Linked DNA regions of Callithrix jacchus. The protein of the gene in region 1 binds, or shares a complex with, the protein of each later gene. Links are inferred from orthologs where the notes say so. Each region holds a gene or a part of one and is shown on either strand. Other genes may lie near its edges.

Evidence for each region.
Region 2: the proteins of DHDDS (region 1) and NUS1 are in contact, whole or in part, in a crystal structure (PDB 7PAX), measured with the Homo sapiens proteins. The link is inferred for Callithrix jacchus from reciprocal best matches to the Homo sapiens genes DHDDS and NUS1. Residues at the interface, in NP_995583.1 of Homo sapiens: Arg37, Arg38, Glu81, Asn82, Lys84, Arg85, Arg159, His160, Ile162, Ser163, Val166, Arg167, Met169, Ala170, Trp171, Val173, Glu174, Pro180, Ser181, Ile183, Ser184, Glu185, Leu188, His199, Glu209, Val210, Arg211, Leu212, Ser213, Asp214; in NP_612468.1 of Homo sapiens: His137, Gln138, Pro193, Glu194, Lys197, Ala198, Ile200, Val201, Ala204, Gln205, Phe207, Cys208, Gln209, Val211, Ala212, Arg217, Pro218, Thr219, Leu221, Asp222, Val223, Leu226, Asp237, Pro246, Val247, Asp248, Ser249, Thr250, Leu251, Gly252.

Annotation. Positions count from the first base shown.
Region 1 is NC_133508.1:63,081,859-63,085,667, forward strand, and holds part of DHDDS (dehydrodolichyl diphosphate synthase complex subunit DHDDS), read left to right. Parts: intron 1-2,491; coding exon 2,492-2,608; intron 2,609-3,809. UniProt on the Homo sapiens protein: With NUS1, forms the dehydrodolichyl diphosphate synthase (DDS) complex, an essential component of the dolichol monophosphate (Dol-P) biosynthetic machinery.
Region 2 is NC_133505.1:123,966,190-123,970,775, forward strand, and holds the start of NUS1 (dehydrodolichyl diphosphate synthase complex subunit NUS1), read left to right. Parts: upstream 1-1,646; 5' UTR 1,647-1,833; coding exon 1,834-2,248; intron 2,249-4,586. UniProt on the Homo sapiens protein: With DHDDS, forms the dehydrodolichyl diphosphate synthase (DDS) complex, an essential component of the dolichol monophosphate (Dol-P) biosynthetic machinery.

The DNA.
Region 1 (3,809 bases):
TAAGTTTTGTTTGGCTCACAAAGTCTTCTGTTTGCGTCAAAAAACAAAATTTTTATAAAAATCCTGATGTTTGGTTTTCTGGCAAAATCAGCATATCCAACAATATTGGACCCCAGGTCCTGTGTGTCAGCAGTTGGCTAGAGATCAGGAATGAGTGCCTTTTTTTTTGAGACAGAGTTTGTCTCTGTTGCCCAGGCTGGAGTGCAGTGGCGTGATCTCAGCTCACTGCAACCTCTGCCTCCTGGGTTTAAGCCATTCTCCTACCTCAGCCTCCTGAGTAGCTGGGATTACAGGCTCCCACCACCACTCCCGGCTAATTTGTGTGTGTGTGTTTTGTTTTGTTTTGTTTGAGATGGAGTCTTGCTCTGTCACCCAGGCTGGAGTGCAGTGGCCTGATCTCGGCTCACTGCAACCTCTGCCTTCCAGGTTCAAGCAGTTCTCCTGCCTCAGCTTCCCAGGTAGTTGGGATTGCAGGAATCCGCCACCACGCCTGTCTAATTTTTATATTTTTAGTAGAGATAGGGTTTCACCATCTTCGCCAGGCTGGTGTCAAACTCCTGACCTCGTGATCTGCCCTCCTTGGTCTCCCTAAGTGCTGAGATTACAGGCGTGAGCCCCCACACATGGCCCTAATTTTCACACTTTTAGTAGAGACAGGGCTTCAACCTGTTTGCCAGGCTGGTCCTGAACTCCTGACCTCAAGTGATCTGCCTGCCTTGTCCTCCCAAAGTGCTGGGATTACAGGGATGAGCCACTGCACCCAGCCCTATGAGTGCCTTTTTTTCTGTAGAAGGCACCATCTTCATTTGACTCTATCCATCAGTATTTTTCCTGGCCAGGCATCATGGCTCACACCTGTAATCCCAGCACTTTGGGAGGCCAAGTTGAGCGGATCTCTTGAGGCCAGAAGTTCAAGAGCAGCCTGGCCAACATGGTGAGACCCCTGTCTCTACAAAAAATAAAAAAATCAGCTGGGTGTGATACATTCCTGTAGTCCCAACTACTTGGGAGATTGAAGTGGGAGGATCTTTCTCATTCCAAAAGGTGGAGGTTGCAAATGAGCCAAGATCATGCCACCATGCTTCATCCAGCTTGGGTAACAGAGTAAGACCCTGTCTCAAGGAGAAAGAAAAAAAATCATTTTCCCTTTGCTCCTAGTTGGAGACTAATTAAACGAAGCCTGTAGTTAAGAGCATATGTTTAACTCTGGAAGCAGATCAACATCAGTTTGAATCCCCATTTGCCTCTTCTTAACTGTGTGATTAATGCAAGTCACTAAAACTCTCTGAGCCTGTTTTTCCACCTGTAAAATGAAGATAATACTATTTGCTTTATAGACCTGTATGATATAGACCTGTATAAGATGAAGTATAAGAAGCCCAGCATAGGCCAGGTGCGGTGGCTCACGCCTATAATCCCAGCACTTTGGGAGGCCGAGGCGGGTGGATCACGAGGTCAAGAGATCGAGACCATCCCAGTCAACAAGGTGAAACCCCGTCTCTACTAAAAATAAAAAAATTAGCTGGGCATGGTGGCACGCACCTGTAGTCCCAGCTACTCGGGAGGCTGAGGCAGGAAAATTGCTTGAACCAAGGAGACGGAGGTTGCGGTGAGCCGAGATCGCGACGTTGCACTCCGGCCTGGGTAACAAGAGTGAACCTCCGTCCCAAAAAAAAAAAAAGAAGCCCAGCATAGTATTTGGCATGTAGTAAGTGCTCAGTAAACATGTAAATAAAAATAAATAGGCCAGTTGTGGTGGCTCATGCCTGTAATCCCAGCACTATGGGAGACTGATAAAGAGTATTGCTTGAGCCCAGGAGTTCGAGACTTGGGCAACATAGGGAGATCCCATCTCTCTTTTTTTTTTTTTTGAGACAGAATCTCGCTCTGTCACCGAGGCTGGAGAGGTTGGAGTGCAGTGTGGCGCAATCTTGGCTCACTGCAACCTCTGCCTCTGGGGTTTAATCGATTCTCCTCCCTCAGCCTCCTGAGTAGCTAGGACTATAGACACACACTACCATGCCTGGCTAATTTTTGTAATTTTAGTAGAGACAGGGTTTTACCATGTTAGCCAGAATGGTCTCGATATCCTGACCCATGATCCACCCACCTTGGCCTCCCAAAGTGCTGGGATTACAGGCCTGAGCCACCATGCCCAGCTGACCCCATCTCTTAAAAAAGAAAAAAGGCTCAGTAGGTGTGTGGTGGCCTGTGCTGGTAATCCTGGCTACTCAGCAGGAGGCAGAGGTGGGAGGATCACTTGATCCCAGGAGGCCAAGGCTATAGTCTGGGTGACTGAGTGCTGCCTCAAAATAAATAAATAAATAAGTAAACTTTAATATCTTTTTACTGAGCTCAAAGCACAAAGTACCCAATTTCCTTCGTCAGGGCTTTCATCACATAGCCCAAACCTGTCACCTTGGGATGTAGTGTCTTCCTTTATCCCTGAAGAATATGAGACCTGTTCATCATTTGTCTTCATATTCCACAGGCAGGCCCAGTGCCAAAACACATTGCATTCATAATGGATGGGAACCGTCGCTATGCCAAGAAGTGCCAGGTGGAGCGGCAGGAAGGCCACTCACAGGGCTTCAACAAGCTAGCTGAGGTGGGTGTGTATGGCAGAGCCCAAAATGAACAGTCTGTGGAGAGATGGATTATAGCTAGAAAACCAGGCCCTGAGTTTGCTGTGGTTGAAGAGTGTTTTTTTATATCAGTCTCTGTGTTTTATTGTTTTCTTGCTAGCTGTACCTCTCATCTTGACGTTGGCCAGACATGGTTGTTCATGCCTGTAATCTAGGCACTTTGGGAAGCCAAGGCAGGAGGATTGCTTGAGCCCAGGGATTCAGGACAAGCCTGGGCAACATAGTCAGACCTCGTCTCTACAAAAAATTTAAAAACTAACCAGACTTGATGGTGCACACCTGTACCCCAAGCTATTCAGGAGGCTGAGGTGGGAGGACTACCTGAGCCCAGGGAGCTTGAGGCTACAGTGAACAGAGATTGTGCTACTGCACTCCAGCCTGGGTGACAGAGTGACACTGTCTCAAGAAAAAAAAATGACATTAACAAAGAAGTAATTATTCAGTGAATTACCGTAAAATACTAAAAATAAGAACAAAATTGCCTCTTACTATTTTAATAAATCAATAGTTTATATTCTATACCTCATCCAATCCTTATTTTATGTTCTACATGACTTAACATTGATAAAATTGCATCTATATCTTCAGTAACCTTGTTTTTACTTATCATTTTGGTTTGGTTTGTATTTTTTTTGTTTGGTTGGGTTTTTTGTTTGTTTGTTTGTTTGTTTGAGACGGAGTTTTGCTCTTGTTACCCAGGCTGGAGTGCAATGGCGTGATCTCGGCTCACCACAACCTCTGCCTCCTGGGTTCAGGCAATTCTCCTGCCTCAGCCTCCTGAGTAACTGGGATTACAGGCACATGCCATCGTGCCCAGCTAATTTTTTGTATTTTTAGTAGAGACAAGGTTTCACCATGTTGACCAGGATGGTCTCAATCTCTTGACCGCGTGATCCACCCGCCTCGGCCTCCCAAAGTGCTGGGATTACAGGCTTGAGCCACCGCGCCTGGCCTTGGTTGGTTTTTTTTTTTTTTTGAGACAGAGTCTTGCTCTGTCACCCAGGCAGGAGTATAGTGACATGATCTCTGCTCACTGCAACCTCTGCCTCCCGGGTTCAAGCGATTCTCTGCCTCAGTCTCCTGAGTAGCTGAGATTGCAGGCGCCCACCACCACATCCGGCTAATTTTCTTGTATATTTAGTAGACATGGAGTTTCACCATGTT
Region 2 (4,586 bases), on another chromosome or scaffold:
AATCCTGTCAGAACTGACAAAATGACATTGGGGCAAAAAATTTGAGTACATCAGAGAAATGTGGCAAGGTGTCAGCATGGGCGGTGGGGTGGGGGTCTTCAGAATACATGGCCAAATCTCAGTGGGGCACTGGTGTCTAGGGAGCTTCCTTAGCAAGCACCATGTAGCTGCATAATCTGCAGCAACAGGCAGTTAGGAAGAAGACTGTAGATTTTCCTGATCATGCCCTTTCGCCTTTCCTTCTTGTCCATCATCAGAGGAGTTGCTGCAGAGATCAGGAGAGACAGAAGTGTGTGAAGGGAGTGCCTGGTGCCCAGCCCTCAATTCTTCAGGCTGCTCTGTCAAAGGGAGATAGACATGAGATTCAACTTTTAAAGTAAAGTTAAATGAGTCTTAGAAAACAAAATGAGACTAGTTGAAAAAGGGACAATGTTAAAAAAATTAAGTCATATAGCCAAGATGTGAACAATGCTTTCCAGTGGAAAAAGGGGACTTTACAGAACAAGTATTAGGTAGGCATTACAAAAATGCAACTGTTTACACACACATGTATAAATATGTGTGTATACGTGTGTGGATGTGTATGTGTAAACAGCTGCATTTTTGTAATGCCTACCTAATCTTTACATGTATACTTATATAAATACAAATAATATAACTATTATTACATACACACATATATATGATGATAGAGGATGTGGCATGTAGGATGAGCCTTGAGAAATGGGTTGGAATGTGGGGAATCCCAAGTGGGAATCAGAAATTCAGGAGAAGAGCTTCAACAAAAGGGGCAAAGACAGTACAGACTTGCCACAGGGAAGTACAGAACCATTCTACAGGACCACTTGGAAGTCCAGATGGACAGGAACGTTAGGGTGTGTAAATGGGATGATAAAGTTTGGATGGGCAGTTTACATCAAATAGTGGCGGTGATTGAAGTCACAATGTCTATATTTCTCCCCTCTAAACCTAACAGGGGTTGGTTAATAAAGTCTTGCCGAATAAATGAAAAACAAAACAAAACAAAAAAACAGTGAAGTGACTGGAGCGGTAGAGCCTCTCTTTTATGTACTAAGCAATGGACAGCCAGGAAAGGATACCTTAGTGGGGAATGACGTGGGTAGAGGGTGTTTCAGGAACATGGCTGAAGAGCCTTGCTCACAGCTTTAGCTGGGAGGTTGAATAAAGGACTGTAGCAGGACCATTCCAGCCTTTGAGGACACTTTTGGGAGCCCTGGTGGATTCCCAGCATCAACACTTACTGAGGGCTGCTTTCCATCCCCAAGTTCTTTCCGGCATTTGTAATTTCCAGTCCACTTAGGACACTTTTACTCCTATGAAACTGTTTCTGTGGGGGCCGTGAGAGGGGACAGACAGTTTAAGACGCCCTGGACCCAAAGGATGCCGGGTCCCTAGAAGCGCCCATCCCTTGGATGAACACGTGTGCCTTGCTGGCGTCCCGCTCAGAAAGTCGTCTTCCCCTCATCGCCCTCCACACGACCAGGGGGCGCCCGCGGTCTCGGCCCGCCTAGTTCGCAGGCGTGGGTCCTCCCTCGCTGTGCCGGGCTGGGCCATATCCTCGGACCCAGAAGACGCGTCAGAGTTCCACGCTGGCCAATCAGAACTGTCCATGTACTACCGGGGGCGGGGCTGCCAAAGGAGGAGGAAGATGGCGGCGGGGGCGAGGTGAGGTGTTGGCAGTGGAAAGGGGTTCGGGCGTGGGGGGCGGGGGCCGCGGGGAGATGGCCCGCTCCGGCCGCAGGGGCGGATAAAAAGCCGTCACGCCGCGGGAGCGGGCGGGAGGGAGAGAGGGTGCCCGAGCGCCACAAGAGTATGACGGGGCTGTACGAGTTGGTGTGGCGGGTGCTGCACGCGCTGTTCTGCCTGCACCGCACGCTCACCTCCTGGCTCCGCGTTCGGTTCGGCACCTGGAACTGGATCTGGCGGCGCTGCTGCCGCGCCGTCTCTGCCGCGGTCCTAGCGCCACTCGGCTTCACGCTCCGCAAGTCCCAGGCGATCGGCAGGAACCGCCGTTACCATAGGCACCCACGCGGGGGGTCGTGCCTGGCCGCTGCCCATCACCGGCTGCGCTGGCGCGCGGACGGCCGTTCCCTGGAGAAGCTGCCTATGCACATGGGCCTGGTGTTCACCGAGGTGGAGCAGGAGCCCAGCTTCTCGGATATCGCAAGCCTCGTGGTGTGGTGTATGGCCGTGGGCATTTCCTACATTAGCGTCTACGACCACCAAGGTGAGGCCCGGTGCGGTGGTGGGGGGTGGTTGAGGCGTCTTGGACCGCTGGAACCGCTCGTCTGGCGGGTGGTGCCCAGGTGGCTCCGCACACGGTTCGGCGAGTTGCCGCGGCCCCTCTGCAAATCACAGCTCTAGCGCTTTCGAGGAAGGGAGATCAGCTTTACTGAACACCTACTAACTCGCTGGATTTGACTCAGTTGCTTTTTAACATTTTACAAATATCCCTTATTTGTTATTATACCGCAGTAATATAGATGGTATTTGTATACCTGTGTTTCCCAAGAGGGAGCCAAGGTTTAAAAACGTTAATTAATTTGCCAAAGGCCACAAAGATCGTAATGGGGATATTGGAATTTTAGCCAGTCTGTGCTTTTTCACAGTCTTTGCCTTTGGTTACAGCACAGTGTTTCTTTAAGAGAGGTTCCAGGCGCTGTTTTTAAGTCGCAGTCAGGCTCTAGAGGACTTAGGCAGGGGCTGTGTGATAGGTACTCCAAATGGGAGCGGTTGGGATTAGCAGGTATTTGAACTGGGTTTATGAAAAGTATGTGAGAGACTGGATAGGCAGAAAAGAAAAATGGTCCTTTTCTATCTTGGAAGCCTGGGATGGTTTGTGATCCTTGATCATCAGTGCCCAACACAGTACTTGATATAATTGTCCTTTCATACGTTTTGATTGAGAGAATGAATTTCACCATAGGGAGTTTTTGTAGGTACAGAAATTCAGTACTTATTGGGTAGCTACAAACCTAAAGCATTGTGCTACGCATACTCCTTGGAATCTTGCATTTAATTCCATGGACTCTCGGGCTTGTCAGGAGGTAGGCACATGGTTAATAACCATGTCAAAGTGTTGAGAGTAAAATTACTATTGTGCTAAGAGAAGAGAGAAATTGTGAATGGAGGCACTTGAGAAGTTCATGCAGTGGAGGTGGGATTTAAACAGGACCTTGAAGAATAGGTAGGATGTCAGTTTTGGGTTTCAATCAAATCTTGAAAGCACTGGAATTTCTTTAAAGATAAAGATGTGATAAGAATGATTTAGGAGTATTGGTATGAAGGAAAGATAAGGAAAGTTTTATTTTCTATTCAATAAATTACGTGTGTGGTCTAAAGATGCATAAATCTTTGCCGGATAGGTAAATTTAAGTCCAGGGTTTTGTCAGAAAGGGAAGATGTAGGTCAGACAGTAACTCTTACAGGGTGAGTTCGGATTGCCCTATAAACTTTCCTGCAGCCTGCACGGAAAATGATGACTCAGTAGCCTGTCATCACCAAATGATGATTTGCCCTATAGGGCAAAGTTTGCTATATTCTGGGACTGACATTTTATGGAACTTGCTAAAGAACTCAGCAGACCAGTAGAAATATGAGACTTTAGAACGTGACACAATCCATGCCTAAACCAATGCAGCCAGTATTGTCTGGCGAAAAAAATAAGTGAAGCAAAAGTGGACATCAAAGACATTAAGCAATGTGGTGGATTGATGTATAGCCAAGTGATTCTTGTAAAGCAAGTACCTTTATCTTCTAGTAGGGAAGGAAAATTTATAGCTAAATTGTTTGACTTGGGGACCATGCCTGCTAGTACAGACTATACTAGTTTCCTTGTTTCGGCAATTCCTGTGTTTAAATTGCTGATGTGATTCGGAAGTATCCTGTCATATTTGTTGAAAGAAAGATGATTGGTAATGAAAAGGAAGAAGTAAGCTAAACCAAGTTTTGACTGAAAACTGAAAGGCAGCTTAAGGAGCAGTTTCTGTGAAGGGGCTTACAGGATTTTTGTGTCTTAACTGTAAAAGCAGTTTTTTTGTTTGTTTAAAGGAATAGGGGATATCATTCCTGAATTAAGAGACCTGTAATTAGTTCATCCTTGGTTTTGATTCATTCATGCATTCATTTACAGGTGACGTTTAGGGTCTGTTAAGTACCAGATACTCTTCCAGACATGGGAATGCAGCAGTGTACTCACAGAACTTAGATTTCAGTGGGAGTCTGACACATAGTATAAGTAGGTAAATACATGGTAATATAAGTGCAGTAAGGAACAATAAAGCAGGGAAGGGAAGATAGCAATGTTGAAAGTCAGTCGTGTAGGAAGGGGCACAGTTTTAAATAGGGAGCCCAAGGAAAGGCTCAATAACTTTGAATATAGAGTTGAAAATATAGGCCATGTGGATGTCTAAGAATTACTCAAGGGTAGTATAGACAAGCTTTATTCAGTGTTTCTTTTTTTTTTTTAATTTTATTACTATTATTTTTTGAGATGGAGTTTTGCTCTGTTGCCCAGGGTGGAGTGCAGTGGTGCAATCTCAGCTCACTGCAACCTCCACTTCCCA